Caenorhabditis elegans: one gene and its partners. The protein of the gene in region 4 interacts with the protein of the main gene of each other region in a pairwise test. Each region holds a gene or a part of one and is shown on either strand. Other genes may lie near its edges. The genes, in order: abl-1, R02F2.5, lin-5 and pat-12.

Region 1 (5,204 bases), on a different chromosome or scaffold from region 4:
TACAGACCCACCTCACTAATTTTGAGATTTTAACAACATTTTTTGCCTACTTTGCAACAATTTGTGGTAAAATTTTTATGAAATTGAAGTTATTGTACCTTTTTGTTGCAATTACAATCAAATTTTCACTTTCACACAAGGTTCGAGTTTTTTCAGAAAAAAAATCAGAAAGCTCAAAGTCAGAAAAATTTTCTGAAAATTAATATTGCACTCCCTAATAGTCTTGCACTCCCTATTAGTATTGCAAGCGGGAAGACCATCGAACAATAGTATTGCAGTCATATTAATAGAAGAAATACGGTATACAATTTTCAAAACTTCGAAACGAGGTTTATATTAGGTCTCCAAATAAGTTCCGGGTCAAAAATCATAACTTTGTTCGCTGTGTATCGATTTTTATGAAACTTTGGGAATTTATGTTATCAACCATGTTCTTTCATTTGACAATAGTCGCAAAAATTTTTGTACACCTCAAGTGTCCTAACTCGGAGCCAATTTTTCCAGGAATTTTTCCTATCTCGCTTCTTTTAACCTTTGAATTGAGGTTTGTGTGCGGATTTTGCTTTGCTTAAAATACATTATTAGAAAACGACAAAAGTTTAGAAAAAAATCCGTCCAAAAAATTTTTTTTAAATATATAATAATCGTTTTAGTTTGAAATTTGAATCTCGAGAAATATTCAAAAAACTCAAAAATTATCCGAAAAAATTATATTTTCTATTAACATTTTGGTGTATCGAAATAAATTGATATGTTTTGTATGTGTAAAAATAGTTCACGCTTGTTTACATCATTTTTGTAGGGAAAATCTAGAACTTTCGACAAAATTTTTTTTGAACATTTTTTGACGACCAACCAAAAAAAAATTTTTTGGACGGATTTTTTTCTAAAATTTTGTCGTTTTCTAATAATGTATTTTAAGCAAGGCGAAATCCGCACACAAACCTCAATTCAAAGGTCTTCTTTTAGAAGCGAGATAGGAAAAATGCCTGAAAAAATTGGCTCCGAGTTAGGACACTTGGGGTGGACAAAAAATTTTGTGACTGATGTCAAATGAAAGATCATTGTTGATAACATGAATTCCCAAAGTTTCATAAAAATCGATACACAGAGAACAAAGTTATGATTTTTGACCCGGAACTTATTTGGAGACCTAATAGATTTTTCACTTAAAAAATACATGTAAGAACTGTGATTTGATAAGCAAACACATACACAAATCCGGAACCGGAAGATTTTAAAATTAGTATTCTCTTTTCTATTTCATAAAACTTTTATAGTTTTGTGTTTAATCACGTTATGAAAAAGATCAATGATCTGAACTTCGTCAAATCTGATTTAGGATATATTTTGGTTGTTCAGCTCGGTTTGTCTGATGTAAATTATTTTTGAAAATTCTACTGAAACACCTAACTGATTTTATTTTTTCAGATAACAAAAAAAGCAGAGACAATGCCGTTTCTTCGAGAGTAACACAAAATTAGCAAAACTATTCAATATTGTCACATGCCGTGTCAATGTCTAGGGAATTGTAAAAATGGGTGTGGACTTGCGAACGTTTATATTCATTGTATACGCGTCGCACCAAATCCATCATAAAAATTGGATAGAAAGAATGAAGAACAGGAGGTTGGGTGTCCCCCGTGGTTCTCAGTCCCACACAGAAAGGAAAATGTGCCAGAGCACATTTTCTAATTGGTCAACGAGAAGAAGGGCGATTCGTCGTACTACTAACACAAGTCCAGCTGCTTCTCTGACCCAGGGAGAAAAAAGATGGGGGGAAATGGTAAATCTAGTTAAAACTGGAGTGAAGTGAATAAAATGCGAATAGTCAATAGGGGTCGAGCATTTATAACTGCGAATATGGCATTGAAACCTATTGAATTGGAATAACAAGTTGGAGAAGCGACGTTTTGCCGGGAGGCGGCAAAGCGGGAAAGGGGAGAGGAACTGGATTTATTCCATTTTTTTCTATTCTTCCAAACTTCCTTTCCCAAATAAATTATGCCTAAACCTTTTAAAAGTGTATAATTTTATAAATATTGTAGTTTGTAAAAAATTATGATCTAATTATTCTAGATGAGTAGAGAAGATACACTTGATTGGATAGTCTCCCATATTTGGATCACGCATGCGTTGTCCTCAAACTAGGGACCGGGAGTTGACGGACGAGGGAAGGGAGATGTGACCTCTTGGTTTGTCTGCGTCCCGTCTTCCACTCATGCTCTCTTTCAATCCACCATACCAGCTATTACTATCTCTACTCTCGTTTTCTTCCGCGTCTCGTTTACTTGTGACTTTAGAAGAGGATCTCTCACCCTCCCCACACCCTCTCCGGCATATATCTACAGCGAACGGGAATACGAAGGGAACCGAACACTTGGAGGATTAGAGAACCTAACCGCATAAAGCATTAAGAGCGGTTCTGAATCTGTCATCTACACTCGAAGGGCCTTATTGTGGGCAGACAATTTCGAATGAGATTGTGACAATTCATCGAAAAGTAGAAGGAACGTTAAAAACAATACATAAAACTTAACATACTGTTTTTCATGTTTTAACATGAACTTTTTTTTTTTGAGAAACTGAGAAATTACAAAATATTAGTTTTATAATACTTTACGTATAATTTATTTTACAATTTCGCCTTATTTTCTTTCAAAACTGAGAGCAGCTTCCTTTTTTTGAAAAATAGAAAAACAAAAGCTGATACTTCAGAAACAATCGTAAACTTTATCAGTACTTTTTTAATGAGTTTCAAACAATAATCATTTTTTTAGGAAAACTTTTGAATCAACAAATATTCATTAGTTTCGTCAAGTTAATATTTTTCAAGGCTGAATTTTTCCAAATGGTATGAAATTATACCATTCAATTTTTTTTTTGAAATCCAATGCCAAACTCAAATGTTGAAATTATATTTGTTTTTAGTTGAAAAGTAATTTTCACAATTTTCAAGCGCAAAATGCTTACCACATGTGAAGAGTTCATTGTCATTGATTTCTTTCCCAGTACTATGTGAATGACCCCTGAAAAACATTTTCTTCTTTATTAGTATATGTTGTTCGTAAAATTAAAATAAACAAAATACCATGGCCTTATAGTTTTTGAGAAGAATTATGAAATGAACTGAACTCACATTTTTGTTAAGTCCTACATGGGAGAATGTTTTGATGTTTTCAAAGTTAGAAAAGCCTGAAAATTATGAAGTTTGGCTTGAATTAAAAAAAAGAAATAAAAAGAAAAAATCGAAGAAGACAAAAAAAAAAGAACATGGAGGAAAAAAGAAAGGACGCGCAATTGGTGTGAAGGTATGTGTCGAGTACCCGGCTGCCCTCTCTTTTCTCATAACCCATCCAGTGACCAGCAGAGCGCGCTTGCATACTTCTCACTCGTTGTTCACTGCTTATTACTGCGCACTTGGTTCAACACTAACGCCTATTCGCTAGTCAAACAATAACAACAGTTCCTGTCAGATAAATAGTACTAAGCTAGAGGAGATTGGAAACGCGGAGTAGAGACTACAAATACTTTGAACTGATTGAACTTATATGCATACGAAATGAATGGATAATGTTTAAACTGGATATAATTAGTTTTTAGTTGTTTTACAAAATTGTGGTGATTTAATAATTAAAAAAAAGTTATGCTATTCGGATATTTGTGTATTCGCAAAAACCATAGTTTTAAACCAATTAACAAATTGTCAATTACAAATCTAAAATCTAACAATTATTGACAAGACCATACATATTAATAAACAAAAAAGTTTTGCATTGTAAAACCAATCAAAACTTGTCGCCGTTCCTTTTTCGCTATGTTTTATACAAATCTGCGATACGAATTCGTATCGGTTGAAAGTGTGGGGATGAAGTGTGAAATGAAACAAAAAGTGTGATCACAAAGAATGGGACGAGAGGCCAGGAGGTACTCAAAACCCCCGCCAATTTTGTCCCATAAAAATTGGAGCGACGAAAGAGTATGGGAATGCAGTTTGAAATAGAAAAGTTGAACAATAGGTAGTATTCAGATTGACGCATTTTTTAAATGGAAATCAAAACTAAAAGAATCAAAATTTTGAAGAAACAGTACGGTATGCCTCTGAGGGTTGGTTGAGTGAATTCTAACTCATTAGAAAATTGCTGTCCTACTATTTTGAAAACAATAAAAGGGCTCCTTAGACTAAAATATGCTGAAAAGTACCTATCAAGTTTTAAATAAGTTTAAAAATTTTTGGAGATTTGCATTGTTTCACGGACTATATAATTGTACATGAAGCACTAATTTTAAATTGTGTGTTTAAGAATAATTTGTTAATTGAGAACAAATTCCATACTTGAAACACTCAATAAGAACGCACTCTAATGCATACAATAATTCTTTAAAAAAACTCCCAAGTTTTAATAATTGCTGACGAAGATGTTTTGGAAAACGTGATCTCCAAGTAATGAATGCTTGGCAATTACAAATAACTTTTTGAAATCAAAAGATTATATGTGGTTGTATTTCTCCATAAAAAAGTGGAATTGTGTGTAGGGTTTTCAAAAGATGAAAATAGGTTTGTTGTTATAACATGCATATGTAATATGACTATGAAACTGTGCTATTTTGCTAGTGTTAGTGATTTTGATGGTGACAAAGTGTTCTATTTTCGATAATTTTTTTTATTTTTCGTCTTTTCTCCTCGTTTAATTGTTGGAAATTACACATTTACATATTAAGTCTACTAAAATTCTTTCACATTTACATATTAAGTCTACTAAAATTTCTCCCATCCTATTTTTATTTAAACCAGTCGTTAAAAAAAATAGCTAAAATAAATCCAAATACGAAAAAAAGTTGAAAGTAAACTTTTGTAGAGTTTTTTGCGTGTCGAAGAACTTTGAAAATAGTAAAGTTTTGTGAAATGCGCAGAACAAAAACTGAAACTAAATGGGAACACACAAAAACACAAGAGAAGACGAACATCGACAAAAAAGTTGGTAGTAGCTGCTGGTTGGCGAGGAGAGGATAATATCCCGAACACGCCAATAGAATGAAGAGGGACAAAAAAGAACACAACAAGATGTCGATGCAAAGGACGAATTATTCCTTTTTTCCTTCCATTTTTGCCATTGCGTTCATTCGAAACAACTTCTGGAAAGGAGATTCCTAACAAAGTCAGGATTGAAAAGAACGACGTAGTACATATCTAGTGAATTTAT
Region 2 (3,681 bases), 4.7 Mb from region 4:
TCGTTAAATATTTTCAAGTTTTCGTATTTTTGCAGAAGGACCTAGAGTCCGCAGAAAACAGTATAACAGTATAAACTTTTTCTTGTAAAAAGATTTCCCCTTTTTTAAATTGTTTTGAAACTTATGATTTTCAAGGAGATATAGCTGTTCAAAAGTGACCCCCTTCAAATTTGCTAGATGATTTGAAACTCAATTTGAGCAATTTTCTTAGTTGACAACTTTTGGTATTGCTGATTTTCATTAAAAAATTGGAACTCAGTTCTTATTTTACCAAAAATTAAATATTAATTTTCACTGAACTCCTTATTCCAGATGCCAGCTTTCACCTGGGCTTCCGGTGACAATGGAAAATGCTCCAACTGCCCAGCAAATGCTCCAGCCTGCTACCAAGGGCTCTGCTACATGCCAAAGAACTACGAGGCTCCGACTACAACAACGGAATCCACCACAACATCTACAACAACTGAGGAACCAACGACAACTTGTGAGCCCGATGAACCAGAAGCTGAGGGAGCTGACAATAATCAAGAAGAAGAAGAAGAAAACAACGACGGGTTCCGAATGAGAGTTTAAGCTTCTTTCATGGTACCCTACCTTCTCCCACATTTAATACCGGATGAACTACTTGGATTGCTTACCGAACGGGTGTGCATACCGCTGCATTTATTTATTCATTTATATATATAGGTGTATGTGTATGTATTGGTGATATACCGAGATTTCTACGAATTGATGATATTCAATAAAAACTACAGTACAATTCTATCGTTTTTATCAACGTTTTTATCAGCGTTATTATCAACATTTTCAGGTCCATACACCATTTTGAGCCTACAAGCCTATCCGCCTATCTCACTCCCTCGTGCCTACCTGTGTTTGCCTTCGCGCCTTCCTTGTTAACCCCTATTTTCGTGAATGTTAGCTGTCTCAAATTGAACTTCATTCGTGCCTAAATAATAATAATAAAAATCTGGAAAAAAATAATTTAAAAAGTCGAAAAGTTTAACATTTACGTGTAAAACTTTCCAAAAATCAATTTCAAACTCAAAGAAATTCATTTCTGAAAGCCGTGAGAAAATGGGATGCTGCGGTTCAAAAAACAAGCAGAATAGTAGGAATTCAAATCGAAATGGACAACAAATGGTAGGTACTGTAGGATTACGCTCTGCAGAACCAAGTTTCGATTGGTTTACTGTAGTGGTACGGTAGCGGGTTTCATAGGTTTATTGCAAGATTACGGTAGCTCATCGTTGTAATTACAGTGTTACTGTAGTAATACTGTACTTGTACGCTTAAGCTTGCATCAGCTTTCGCTGCGAACTCTTTTGAAACCAAAGTACTACGTGTTGTTAGGGGTACGGTTGGCGCAGGTTTATTACCTGGTTACTGTAGAGTCACTATAGTTTTGCACACCTTTTACAATCTCGACAGCATTCATTTTTAGAGATTCCTCGTCTCAAAAACTATATTTTCAGAATCAAACCGGAACCCAATCAGGCCCCTATCCTGCCCAGAATCAACCTCAGAATAGGAATCAACCTCCACCTCCACCTCGACAGCAGCAGCAGCAACAAGCTCCACCTCCCAATGGACAGAAGCCTCCACAACCTCAACGTCAACAACCGTCTCCAGGTCTCCCGTACCAGCCACAACCGCCTCCTGCGTATGGGGCTCAACAGCCATACTATCCACCGCAACAGCAAGTCGTAGTGGCTGCTCCTCCGCCAGTGGTCATTGTGGATCCTTATCCATGTTATGGAGGTGGAATGTACTACGGTGATCCATTCTATTGTGATCCGTTTATGTTTTAATCGAGATGTCAAATGAAAAGTAAGAAGAAGATGAAGTGACTTGAAAATATTTCCGATAAGAAATAATTGATAATTGATCCTTTTTTTGCAATAAAAATAGTCTGAGATTGTTTTCTAAAAATTAGTTAATCGGTCCGAAACTGGCAAATTGATCCACCAAAATTTATCCACGGGAAGTGTCGACTGCTGGCATTAGAAAAAGGAAAGTGTCGGCCGCTTCCATTTCTGCGTGAACGCCTTGCAGTTATTTTTTTGGAAATGATTTATTTTTCAAATGTTCAAACTTGCCGCTAAAAAATTTTATTCCCAACTTACTTTATAATCAAAAGAACTCAAATATATCGATGAAAAATGGGATGCTGTCAATCGAAGAAAGCTAGAAATAATCAACGGAACAACCAACGCTCGGACCAAATGGTAAGTCTCCAAGTTTCATATGAGGTGACCGTGCCTGCCTATAATCCCTGTTCCGGGTTCCATAAAAAAAACTGAATAGACACAAGGCAGACGAAGGTCGCCTTGAAGTCAAGCTCAAGAACTCCTCCTTGTACCTCAACTTTTCAGAATCGTCAGCACACTCAACCATCTCCAAACGCCTCGACAGAGCAAATGGTAGGGAAAATCGATAATTTTCCGAAAATCAATAAAAGAAAATATCGATTTTTCAGGCATACCCTCGACAGCAGCCTCAAGGGATCCCACAGGGACCTCCACCGGCCTACGCACCTCCAGCAGCACCGAAAGCTCCTGAGAAAGTCGTGGAGCCCAAAAATAGGAGAGTAACGATTGCAGAACCACCGGAGAGAGTTGCGGAGCCATCACCAACGCCTGAAGATCCAGAGCTTTTTACTTGCATCGACCAAACGGAGAAAGAGGTTGAAAAGGAAGTGGAGAAGAGAAAGTCTGCTCCGCGAGCCCCAGTCCCGGCACCTACACCAGCTCCTCAGGCAGCTCCCCAGGCAACTCCGGCTGCACCTGCTCAAGCTTACCCTCAACAACAACAAGCTGCTCCCGTGGTCTATGGATCCCAACCAATGGTCATGGGTGCTGCTCCGGTGGCTCCAGTTGTCATGGCTCCGCCGCCAGTGATCATGAGCCCTTATCCATATTATGGAGGTGGTGTTATGTTCGACCCATATTATAATGGATTTTATGGAGGATATGGATACGGAGGTTTTGATTTCGGGTATGGAGGATATGGTGGTTATGGATGCGGATTCTATTGACTTTTTTGAACTCTTTTGTGTTTTTTTGGAATAAATTTTTTAATTGAACACTTAAAAATCAACAGAACAAGATGAACAATCAACAACATAAAAATGGATATTATAACAAAAAAAACAATTAATAAATTCGCTTCGAAGCCCTCGTGATCGTAGAAAGGAACTTCTTGTATCGGGTTCTCTCAACAACTGGAAGATTCGTGGCGAGCAACGCGGATGCATTTTTATCGGCCAGTGAATGTAGTTTTGACATGGCAAGTAGACTGTCTGATCCATAGAATACTGCGTCTCCAATGATTGATGCAGTCAGCTGAAGAATAAAAATTTAGACCGTTTTTGAGAATAATTGAAGGTTTTTTTAAAATTTCAATTTAGTCGTTTTTCTTGGTAACTTTTACCAAAACATACTCAACAAGCTCCCCCTAATTTCGAAAATTAATAAGTTGACAGAATTTTTAAAAAAAATCGAGTTCGAGAAGAAATAGTGATTATTACAGATTATTTAAAATTAAAATGTCTATTTTCTTCTTTAAAAAAAAGGGAAATTTCTCAAGAAATACTAGTTCTCATTTTTATCAATTTGACAATCCTGAAAAAAAAGATAAAACGTTTTAAAATGGGTTTTCAAAAAAGAACTTTAATTTTAA
Region 3 (5,593 bases), on a different chromosome or scaffold from region 4:
TTCTGGTTTCAATTAGCCCCACAATTTCTTCGTTAGTTACTTTGACATCCCTGGATTTGTACGAAAATCAGTTGACCGAAATTTCGCATCTCGAATCACTCGTAAATTTGGTTTCTCTTGATCTGAGCTATAACAGGTGAAGAATTTAAGAAACTTTTATTTCAATAATAACTTTCAGAATACGCCAAATCAACGGCTTGGATAAATTGACAAAGCTCGAGACTCTTTACCTTGTCAGCAATAAAATTGAAAAAATCGAAAATTTAGAAGCTTTGACGCAGCTCAAACTGCTCGAACTGGGAGATAATCGGTAAATATGGAATGTTTCAACATCAAAATCACAAATTGTGTTCAGAATCAAGAAAATCGAGAACATTGGTCACCTTGTAAATTTGGATGAATTATTTATCGGCAAAAATAAAATTCGTCAGTTGGAGGGAGTGGAGACCTTGCAGAAGCTCAGTGTTCTCAGCTTGCCGGGAAATCGTATTGTGAAAATTGAAAATGTTGAGCAACTGAATAATCTGAAGGAACTTTACCTCAGTGATCAGGGTCTACAAGATATTCATGGCGTCGAACCTCTGGTAAAAAGCAATTCAAAATACACTGAGAAATGGGTCTTTTTTGCAGACTAATTTACTTCTTTTGGATGTTGCAAATAACGAAATCAAAACGTTCAGTGGCGTTGAAAGACTAGAAAGTCTTAATGATTTCTGGGTAACCGAGACATTTTACGTTTCTTCTATATCTTTTATTATTGCAGGCAAACGACAACAAAGTGGAAAGCTTCTCCGAAATTGAGCAACTTTCAAAGTTAAAGGGTCTTCAAACTGTATACTTGGAGAGAAACCCGTTCTATTTCAATGATACAAACCAATATCGCAGAAAAGTTATGATGACCCTCACCCAAGTAACTCAAATTGATGCTACTACGTGCAGAAAGCCAATTGAATAACTCTCGGACGCTTCCAATAAATATCCGTTTGCTTTTCTTATCCATGATAATCTTTCATAAATATGTATCAGTTTGCTTCATTGTTTGATATTGAGAACAAAGTGTAAGGTTATTAAGAGGAATCGCAAATGAATCATAATCGACCTCCATATGGGCGAAGCCAATCGAAATGGCCAGATATTATCAGCTAATGAAAATTTAAAAAAAAAACGACTAATCAAGAGTTTGAAAAAGGTTTCATACTTTGAGAATAATGCAGTAGTTTTTAGACGGTGCGGTGAGATTTTAAGAAGAAATTATTTATTCTTCTCGCTAAATAAATATGAACCAAAACCAACTTTCCATGCCTGAAAACTTAAAGTGTGTCAATTACAGAGCTTTTCTTTTGAGAACAATCAAGAAGTTTCCTCGAAAAGTATTAAACATATATGAAATGAAAGCTACTGTAAGATTTTTTGTTGTGAAAATAAAGATTTTATTGGAAGGCGCACTTAACTTTGTCCCCTAAAAAAGGAATGTTCTTTCTTTGTTTTCATTAAATAATTTCAAACTCAGCAATGTGTATACGGTTTTTTTAAAAGGCGCATGCACATAATCTTTCACATGGTTTTATAAATAAAGAATGAAACCATTTTCGCGCGCGCGCGCATTTTTGGTTTTATTTTTCATGTTAGATTCCTCTAATGTTCATTTCAATCAGTGTGTCATCCCACTTTTTAACAGCTTCATTTTTATTTATTATTCGTCCTTTTAATATTTTTTTGGTAGACTTGTGCATGTTGACCTGCAGGTCCATGGAAAAATTGTCATTTGAATTCCCGCTGTTTTTAGAAGTGTCGTGAGAAAAGTGTACGAGCATGGTGTAAGAGACGCAGACATTCTGCGTGCGTCTTTTAAATATTCTTCGTTTATGTATGCGTTCTCTCTCGTTCTTTCGCTCAACCACTCGCATTTTCTTTGAATAATTACTCCTTCTGCAGAATGAGCGTGAGCACATCAGTTGTGAAGTCAATGCTACAATTGACGAACTATTTTGGCTCCAATTTCACACCGAAGACGGAGACAATCAGCTCATTAGCCGAGCTTTGGGAGAGGCACGGGAGTATGATCGCCAGTATGATGTAAGTAATAGCTCATTCATAAACAATTTCATATTTTATTTTTCAGGTCATGCGACACTCGGGAGTTTGGCACAGCTGACAAATTCTATGAAGTTATCTTCCGCAAAATCGCCACAACGAGTCTCAGCTTCATGACCGATTCATTGGAACCGAAGCTTGCAGCGAGCGGAGATTCACTGGAGATTTGCAAATTCTACGCTCTGTTTCTCGAGTATATGAGAAAGGATCACTCGGGAATGCTCACTCGCGCATTGGAGCAAGCGTCATCAGAGAATCGCGTCGACACAGCTGTGCTTCTTGATATGTTTTTGTTTTTCGACAACGTGTATTCGGAAAGTACCGCTGACGACTGGTGGGCATGTCTTCGGAGAGATGACGAAGATCAGGAAGCATCCAGTGGCTTCAGGACTCCGAAAAGGAACAACTACAGCTTGACATCATTGCAAACACCAACAGCTACTGCCCGGCGACTACGCACAGCTTCCTCAACTGCTCGGCGAAGCCCTATAGCGGAGGCTGTCGATTCCCCTACCATGAAGTTCATGCGAAGCGAGCGGGAGCTGAAGCAGTCTAAAGCGAGAATCTTTGGTTTGGAGCAAATGTTAGGAGACCTTGAAGATGACAAGACCAAGTTATCGGCTGAGAACAGAACTTTGAAGCTTTCGTAAGTAAAATGGTACATTGAATTTAAAATATGGAGAAAATATTTTAGGAATTCCGATCTGAAAAGCGACATCGCTAAACTGAAAGGTATCGCCGAGGAGGCACAATTTCGTGCTGAAGAATTGAGCTGTGATCTCGAAGCCAAAAAGGATGAAGTCCACAACATTCTCCAACAACTCAATGAATCTCGAATGACGTTGAGATCCGAGCAAAGAAGTCTGGAGGAAGCTGACATAAAGAAAGAGAATCTTACTGCTAAGCTGAAAACGGTGACCGAAGACAATGGGAAGCTCATGAAGCAGGCCAGAGAGCTTCGAGATCTCAACGACTATGAATTCGCTAGATTCCGTCAGCAGGAACAGGAGCTTACTGAGACTCTTCGGGCGACGCAGGACCAAATGGCTGACCTCCAGGAACAACTTACCGGAGTGGAAAAAATAAGAGCGTCTCTGAAATCTGAAAACGAGAGCCTTTCTGCCAGTGTTGAGGAGTTGAGTGTTGCTTCATTGAGAAACAAACAAGATGCTGACAACTCTAAAACTATGCTTTCCGAGGAACTGGCGCGTTTTGAAGAGACTGTGGACAAACTCCGACAAGAAAAGCTTGAAGCGTTGAGCATGGCCAACTCCAGAATCGATGCTCTTCGTTTGGAACACTCGGAAAGAGAGAAAATGATGAAATCCACGAATGCACGCCTTCAGGCTGACCTTGACGAAGAGAGGAACGAGAAAAAGCGCTTGATGAATCTCTGGAATGAACTGAATGAAAAGTCCCTGAATGTCGACAAAGCTGTACATAAAAGCAACGAAGAATTTCAGTCAATGGGTTCTTGTCTTCAAAATGCGAAAAGACAAATTGAGCAGTTGGAAGTTGCGTGCAAGAGTAAGGACGATATCATCAAATTTCAAGAGGAGCAGAACAAACGAGCTGCCAATCTGATAAAGAATGAAAAGGCAATACGCGATCAGGCCTCAGCTCAATTTGCCGAGAAGTTGGCAATTCTCAAGAATTCTCTAGCGGAAAAAGAGAACGAAACAGTCACCCTTAAAGAAAACTTCGCAAGTGTGGTAATGAAGCATAAAGCCGAATTGGAGGAGAAAGAGGTTTGCTTGTTGAATATCAAATTGAATACAACATTACTTACTTTTTAGCTGTTCCTTCAATCTAGAGTGGATCTGATTCAACGTCTCGAGCACGAAGTTGCAGATCTTCGAGAGAAGGAAAGCGCCGAGATTAAGAAATCCACCTGGATGGGTGAGAGAATCAGTGAGTTCATATTTAACGTTTCGAAATTGAATTTTCAATCTTGTTTTTCAGAAATCTTCCAACAAGCTCCAATGAGAGGTTCGAGAATCAGATGCGGTTCGCCAGACAGCTTGCCAGACTTCCTCGCCGATAATGGACCAACAATTACCGAAGAAGAATTGCGAGCACAGCTTGCCACGTTCCCAAGAAAATCGATTGCTCCTAGTGTGGACGACAACGAATTCGATAAAGGAACACCGATTGGATTCAAGTCGAATATGGTAATCAGTTTATTATTATGCAACCTCAATTTTGTGAGACGAGACAATTTCTTATATAGACGAGACAATTTCTTACCACAAATATTGTCCAGAACGTTCAATTTTCAGTACGATGGACGTGAGTCAATTTGCTCTTTGGATTTCTTCGACCGGTCTAGTCTTCAACGTTCGTCGATGCGATCGGAATCTATCCAATTGGCATCGCCATCATCAGCTGGAGAGTTCAAGCAACCATTCACACCATCCGGAGTAACCAAGGAAAGAGTTGGAGTGCTCACTGCCAGAAACGAGAAAGTGAAGCCACACCTAAAATGCTCGTACGCCTCTGAAGTTGGAAGTACGAATTCGCCATCCGCAGACGAGGAGAATATCAAGAAGTCCAAGAAAAAGAACCGTCGGGATTCGATTTTTTCTGCTTTTTCGAGCAAAAAGCAGTAAAATATACTTTCATACATTGTAATATAACTTTTTCACAACACACTTTTGTTTTATGTTTTGCTCCGTGTTGTATCCTATTTTATCTATTTTACAATTCCTTTCCTAACGATCGCTGAGAAATGAAGAAGTTTCTTATTTTTTATGTGTTCTTGTGAAAATGATTGTTTCATCGCAGTTCTATTGTAAGAATCAGGCCCTTTTCCTTCACAAATCATCGTGCCGACCAGGGGTGTGCGGCGAATATTAGCCGAATTCGCCGTTCGCCGATGATTTTTTCGATTCGCCGAGTTCGCCGTTAGCTGAAAATTTTGAAAATCGGCGTTCGCCGAATTCGCCGTTCGCCGAAAAATCGCCGAATTCACCGTACGAGAATCGGCGAACTCGCAGAGCGAAATTCGCCGTTCGCCGAAAATTTCAAAAATCGGCGAGCGCCGAATTCGCCGATCGCCGAAAAATTCGATTCGCCGCACACCCCTGGTGCCGACGCGTCCCCGTTTGAATTGCCGCCCAGCCGCCGTGGTCGCATTCTCCGCGCCGAGACCCATCGTCGATAAAGGCTGCTCCTTTAACCGCCGAACGCCTAGATATATAAGCTGAGGATCGCTCATTCTGGATCATTTCTTAACCTTTTATAAGTTACGTGTCTTATTGCTCCTTTCTCCCGTTTACTTGTTGCGACATTGCCATACGTCTGTCCCTTTATACTAATAAATGCTTGTAAGATAAACCTCGCGTAGCTTGTTATGATAAACCCCACATCCTAAACCTTTACTCTATGGACGGCACCAAATTTGAAAGTATTATCCACATATTGTGTAGTTGTCGCAAAAGTTTTTTCGAATTCTCCTTTTCGATAGCTTCTCGTATAATAATTAGCTGGAATGTGTTTA
Region 4 (5,175 bases):
TGTGGATATATGACGATGATTCTACGTGGTATGATGCACGACGTTCCTGAAAATTATTCAAGATTATTTTAAGTTAAACTTTTTTTAATTTTTTGTATGTTTTTTCCTTCCTCTACATCGTTTCTTAAAACTTTACTGAACACAATTCTAGACCTCTTCAACTTCTGGAATGTATGGCAAACTGATAGTAGGTTTTGTCCCAAAAACCGTGCCCCGGCGTGGTGGACGCGAAGAATGCGATCGAGATGACGTGGAGGATGACGCCACTCGAGCCAGATATTCTGCTCGTAACTGCCTGACTGTCGAGTACGGCGGTTCGGTATTGTCGTCGTTGGTTGAGGACATATTTGGATGGAAGCCTAATTGTCAGTAACTTTTCTATATAATTCTCTAGGATTTTTCAATAAGGCAAGACGAGATCTCAGTGGGAGAAAAGAAAATAGAGTAACTATAAATATAAAAATTATAGATTTGGTCAAAGATGAGATCATTTCAATGATGGACACTTTTTAATTTTGAAAAGGTATCTTGTTAGAGAATTTTTTTTAAAAATCGATTTCGCCAATAAAAGTTAACAAAACAATATCTCCGTGATTTTTGAATTTGCAACTTTCCAAAAAAACTCTTTTCGAGGGCAAAAAATGAAGTGTTGAGCAGCGAGAGCCGACCACTACGGTATGTACTCGAATAAACAGAGAATCCCAAAATTGTGAGAAACGCAGGAAACGAGAGTGCTGGTGTAACGATGAAAAAGAATGGTTTTGAAAAAGAAGTACAACACAATGTTGGACATTTTTCTCACCCGCCCAGCAAACAGAAGCAACAGTGATTAGAGATGGGTGCCTTGCGCTCAGAGTTATGTCTATTGACCACAAAAGTTTTTGAAACAATAGGTATGTTAAAGCTGTTCCGCCGAGAAACATTTGGTTGCAACCATCAAATTTAAAAATTGAAATAGAATTGAAAAGATTGAACCTAGATTCTGGCACCTAATAATGAAAAAAAACACAGTGCTTTTGAGGATAATGGGGAGCCAGAGACTTAGTGAGAGGTCGGAGAGACGCACCCGGGAACTCCTAGGATTTTGACGAATGTGTTTGTCTTTCTTGTTTCGTATGTTAAAAACGAGGGATAGTGGAGAGAAAGACAAAACGAAGCAAAAAGCGCCAGGAGCAACACAGGGGAGGAGGAGGTTAAGGCACGCACGAGCATGAACACTTATCACCATGAGCACACTATTCGGGTCAAATGCGTGTTTCCCCGGTGCGCGGAACATAAGAACGACGCGGAACGCATGACGGTTAAGAACTACTGCAGAGAAATGATAAATACATCTATGTGTGGAGATGACTGGGATTTAACGAATTTCTGTAAATGTTTAGGAATACGTTTGCAGGTGGTGTCAGGCTCTCCCATTACAGTGTGGTCTACGAAAAATGCGGGAATTTTTTCCCAAAAAAATTGTGGTGTCAGCACGCTCAATCATACAAAAAAATCAGATGTCTGTGTCTTACCTCCCGCATTTTTTGAAGATCAAACTGAATTGAGACATTCTGACTCCAAGTGCGTTTGTTACACTAATATAATCTTTTCAGAAGTTGAAGTGAATTTTAACAAACTAAAGTAGAATTTTCGATATTTATTTCACTTTCATATAATACATAGTGGTGGCATAGAAAAGTTATTAGGCCTTAAAAACAGCTCCAGAGAGTACTATAATTTTATAAGATCTCCTGGGTCGTTGTAGAACTCCTATGCAGTAAAAAAATAGAATTCGGGGTAGATCCTTATGTTTTAAGCTATGAATTGGACTTCAAGACTTGCTAAAGTTGTAATTAATTAACCTATTTCTCGACTTGGACATTTTTTAGCTTTGAAGATACTCCTTTTGGAGATGACTATTTACTAGGTAAGTCTGATCGTTGTAATTCTAATGGTTTGATACATTGGTTCACTAGATCCTTAATTTACAATTTTTCAGATATTCAAAATTGTTACCAACTAAAACATACCGAATACTTAGCCAAATGGAAGTCTTTCCTCAGTTGCCAGTGCAGCGGATCTGTACCTTCCGACTTCTCGTTGTCGGGTGCACCAACCTGTAATCAAAACTGTTTGTATTTTAGGCAATTTGTTTCAATGTTGTTCAATTCGAAAATTGCTTTGTTTTTATTTCGGATTACTGATTCAACAGTCAAAGCATCACCCCCACGCATACACCGACAATTATTGTGGGAGGTGCGCGAGCGCGGGCGCCTGCTACTGCTGCTCCGAACAAACTTCGAAACAAACAATTTATGATTGCGGTAAGAGATAGAGTGAAGATAAGGAAGCAATGAAGGTTCAAAGTCAATAGGATTTTCTAAAAAAAAAATAAAGCATCAAATATGGAAAAGGAAATAACATATGATGGTCGAACATGATTATTTTGGAATATCAAACTAGATTAGTTCGTTTTTTTTTTGTCACCAAGAAATTAAAAACCTCAACCAATACTGAATTTTAGTCTTATTTTTAGGCAATAACAATTTTGAAAAAAAACTGAAAGTTAACTAAAAAGGAATATATGCAATGAACACTTTTCCTTTCATTTTGATCTTAAGACTGTATGATCAAGACAAAACCTAAGTTTGAGCCTAAACATAATTCTAAGTACAATCCTAAGCTTAAACCTAAGCATATACCTACGCCTAAACATAGGCCTAAGTCTAAGCTTATACATACGCCTAAGTCTGAGCCTAAGCCTATGCTTATACCTACACCTAAGAATAATGTTTATCTTATAGTTAGGCTTAAACGGATTACACTGCACCCTAAGTCTGAGCCTTAAACTACGACTAAGCCTTAGTCTCGTTATGCATCATTTTTAACAAGAAACAAAAAATTCCTACAACTTTAACCTGAAAACCTCTAAAAAAAACCTACTCATTAAAAAAAATTTCAAAAAAAAGGAAAATCCTCATAAAAATGAAGGAGGAGTAAAGAGGAAAAGAAAAGAGTTTCAAATTCTATCCGTCAAGCCCCCTCTCTCGCCGCGCAGAGCCTCCAGCAGCCACACATACAGTTTGTGTGTGCGTCGGCGGAAGTTTCAAGAGGCTTCTATTCGATCGAAGGAGAGATGTGTTAAGCGAGAGAAAACTCTTCGGCAGAGACACTATTCGATTTGGCGTAGAGCGCAGGACGCAAATTTTTTGGTGGATCTCATTAGTTGAGATTTTTTGGGTTGAGAGTATAGACAGGGGCTTACTTTTCCAGTCGGAAGCTGGTCCATTGATCTGTACTTCTTAGGCTCATTCACCTTTGAGGTGTGATCCAAATATCGATTTTTGCGCATTTTGATCAGCCATCCAGAATCTCCCGGAGATATTGGAGAAGCTTGAGGTTGCTGAAAACTCATTTATTGTTCAACGAATGCTCCGTTTTGAAAACCTGGAGTACCCGAAAACATCCCCGTCTACTCACCGGATTTAGCTGCTCGAATTGTGACGGCGTAGGCAAGACTGACAAATCGCTCATCGATTGGGAAGTTTTCTGAATTTCGGCTGACGGCTCTCTACACACTATTACGCTTCACACCACACCGTGTAGTTTCAGGGAAGTTGGTCAGTAGGTAGTAGGAGGATCCATGTGTTGTCGTTTCCAAGCCAGGGATATCTTTTTTAAAGGAGGGACAACACAGTATAACATGCACATAAGGACAAACAGGAAGACAAACAAACATGCAAGAAAGGGGATATAGACTTACTCTTTTCAGCGTCTCGATTCTCTGGAAACAAAATTATAAAAAATGTTCTAGTGTGAATAAGGTAACCCTAAACCAATGACATCTCTTAATTTTGTCAACTGGGTAATCGGGTCGATTTTTGAAAATGTATTTAACAATCTTAAAATAAATTTTTTTTTTCAAGGGTTCGACAAAGTTTGTTGGTCATCACTTGTAGGCTTTGTGTAATACATTTGTGATGTATTGCCAAATTTTCCTTATATTTTCTAATTTAACTATTTGAATACCTAGATTTATGCGGAACTCCGAATTACTTTTTAACTATACTTTTCATGCAGTGCTATGCATGCTCACCTGTTTCATGGTTTCAAGCTCCCTCAGGCTCTCATCATTCTTCTTTGGTCCAGGCCACCCTGGTTTGTTCCATGGCTGATTGGCTTCGTTTTCCTTTGCCTAGAACGTTTAATTTTATAATTTCATGACTTTATTAAATTAAAATCACCTTCAAATACTCTCTGAGCCGGGATGCTTCCATCTCACGATGGCGATCGACACTCTCGGCGAGATAGTTGCTGGTGGTGATTGGACGCGATTCACTGCTCTGAACATGATATAAAATTTTATTTCAGTCTTCAAAAGTACGGCTTACTCTGAACCGACGTTGCTCGAGCGGATCAAGTTTGATCTTCGACTTGCTATGCTCACTTGGGAAGTCTCCGGCTAGGTTCCGGCGGGGATCCGGAATTCTCGTGGAGATATATGGCATGTTAGCATTTGTGATAACCTGTAAGAGAAAAGTATATTGAGACCAACAAATAAGTTTAAAATAATGAGTCACTTATACAGAGCCTAATGATTTTGTAAAATAAACGTTTCTCGCGACGCAATCTGGCGCTGATCACTGTGATTTTTTTGTCGTAAGTTGCACTTTCTTCTAAAAGTTCCCTAAAGTTAATTGTATTTACACGATTTTTGAAAAACTACAAAATTTGAACTTTCTCTCTTTCCTCCCTCCCCCTTAACTAAATTGATGCGGATCTCAAATGCGGAAGGAGAAAGCCAGGTTGTTTGTTGATTGCCTCGTTACCCTCCACAAATGCTCAACTATTTTCCAGGTTAGTGACCCCATGATCGGCTTTCTTAGGTAGTGAGACTGTTTTTCTCTGGCTCCGTGCTTGCGCGCGCGCACGCAGAAGTTTACTTTCTAACGTTGTAGGAAAAAATGACCGTGTGTGCTCAAAGGAACACACATCGCGATCAGGTAGACTAGGCCTAAAGTATTTAAGGAGTCAACTGGGAACTTTGAGAAAGAAACCGTTTAATTTTCCCTTTTCCTCAAATTTTTCTTTGGTCGCCGTAACTTCTAGATTTTCCAGCAAACGATGAGGTTGCTCATTGTGCTCTCCGCACTACTTATCCCTTGTTTGGCGCAGCTTTCCGAAGACTCATCG

The links.
Region 1: the proteins of pat-12 (region 4) and abl-1 interact in binary tests that used the Caenorhabditis elegans proteins (3 or more experiments, as listed by UniProt).
Region 2: the proteins of pat-12 (region 4) and R02F2.5 interact in a two-hybrid assay, tested with the Caenorhabditis elegans proteins (2 studies listed by BioGRID).
Region 3: the proteins of pat-12 (region 4) and lin-5 interact in a two-hybrid assay, tested with the Caenorhabditis elegans proteins (2 studies listed by BioGRID).

Annotation. Positions count from the first base shown.
Region 1 is NC_003284.9:10,621,006-10,626,209, forward strand, and holds the start of abl-1 (Tyrosine-protein kinase abl-1), read right to left. Parts: upstream 3,185-5,204; 5' UTR 3,142-3,184; coding exon 3,140-3,141; intron 3,030-3,139; coding exon 2,974-3,029; intron 1,703-2,973; exon of another isoform or gene 1,578-1,702; intron 1-1,577. UniProt on the Caenorhabditis elegans protein: Functions downstream of migratory protein mig-13 and is involved in Q neuroblast migration during larval development.
Region 2 is NC_003281.10:5,477,242-5,480,922, forward strand, and holds R02F2.5 (Prion-like-(Q/N-rich)-domain-bearing protein), read left to right. Parts: upstream 1-2,076; 5' UTR 2,077-2,162; coding exon 2,163-2,228; intron 2,229-2,375; coding exon 2,376-2,423; intron 2,424-2,479; coding exon 2,480-3,037; 3' UTR 3,038-3,087; downstream 3,088-3,681. Other genes in the region: Protein lon-1, read left to right, coding at 313-573; R02F2.10 (Prion-like-(Q/N-rich)-domain-bearing protein), read left to right, coding at 1,078-1,143, 1,476-1,811; R02F2.6 (uncharacterized protein), read right to left, coding at 1,441-1,683; R02F2.7 (Myb-binding protein 1A-like protein), read right to left, coding at 3,156-3,344.
Region 3 is NC_003280.10:7,858,724-7,864,316, forward strand, and holds lin-5 (Spindle apparatus protein lin-5), read left to right. Parts: upstream 1-1,935; 5' UTR 1,936-1,936; coding exon 1,937-2,076; intron 2,077-2,122; coding exon 2,123-2,740; intron 2,741-2,788; coding exon 2,789-3,842; intron 3,843-3,890; coding exon 3,891-4,005; intron 4,006-4,056; coding exon 4,057-4,265; intron 4,266-4,373; coding exon 4,374-4,703; 3' UTR 4,704-4,840; downstream 4,841-5,593. Other genes in the region: sds-22 (Protein phosphatase 1 regulatory subunit SDS22 homolog), read left to right, coding at 1-136, 179-310, 356-584, 631-717, 764-955. UniProt on the Caenorhabditis elegans protein: Essential component of the spindle apparatus required for spindle positioning and chromosome movement. Acts to recruit or anchor gpr-1/gpr-2 complex to the spindle and cortex.
Region 4 is NC_003281.10:735,582-740,756, forward strand, and holds the start of pat-12 (Protein pat-12), read right to left. Parts: upstream 3,398-5,175; coding exon 3,248-3,397; intron 2,100-3,247; coding exon 2,013-2,099; intron 47-2,012; coding exon 1-46. Other genes in the region: idpp-1 (SXP/RAL-2 family protein Ani s 5-like cation-binding domain-containing protein), read left to right, coding at 5,107-5,175.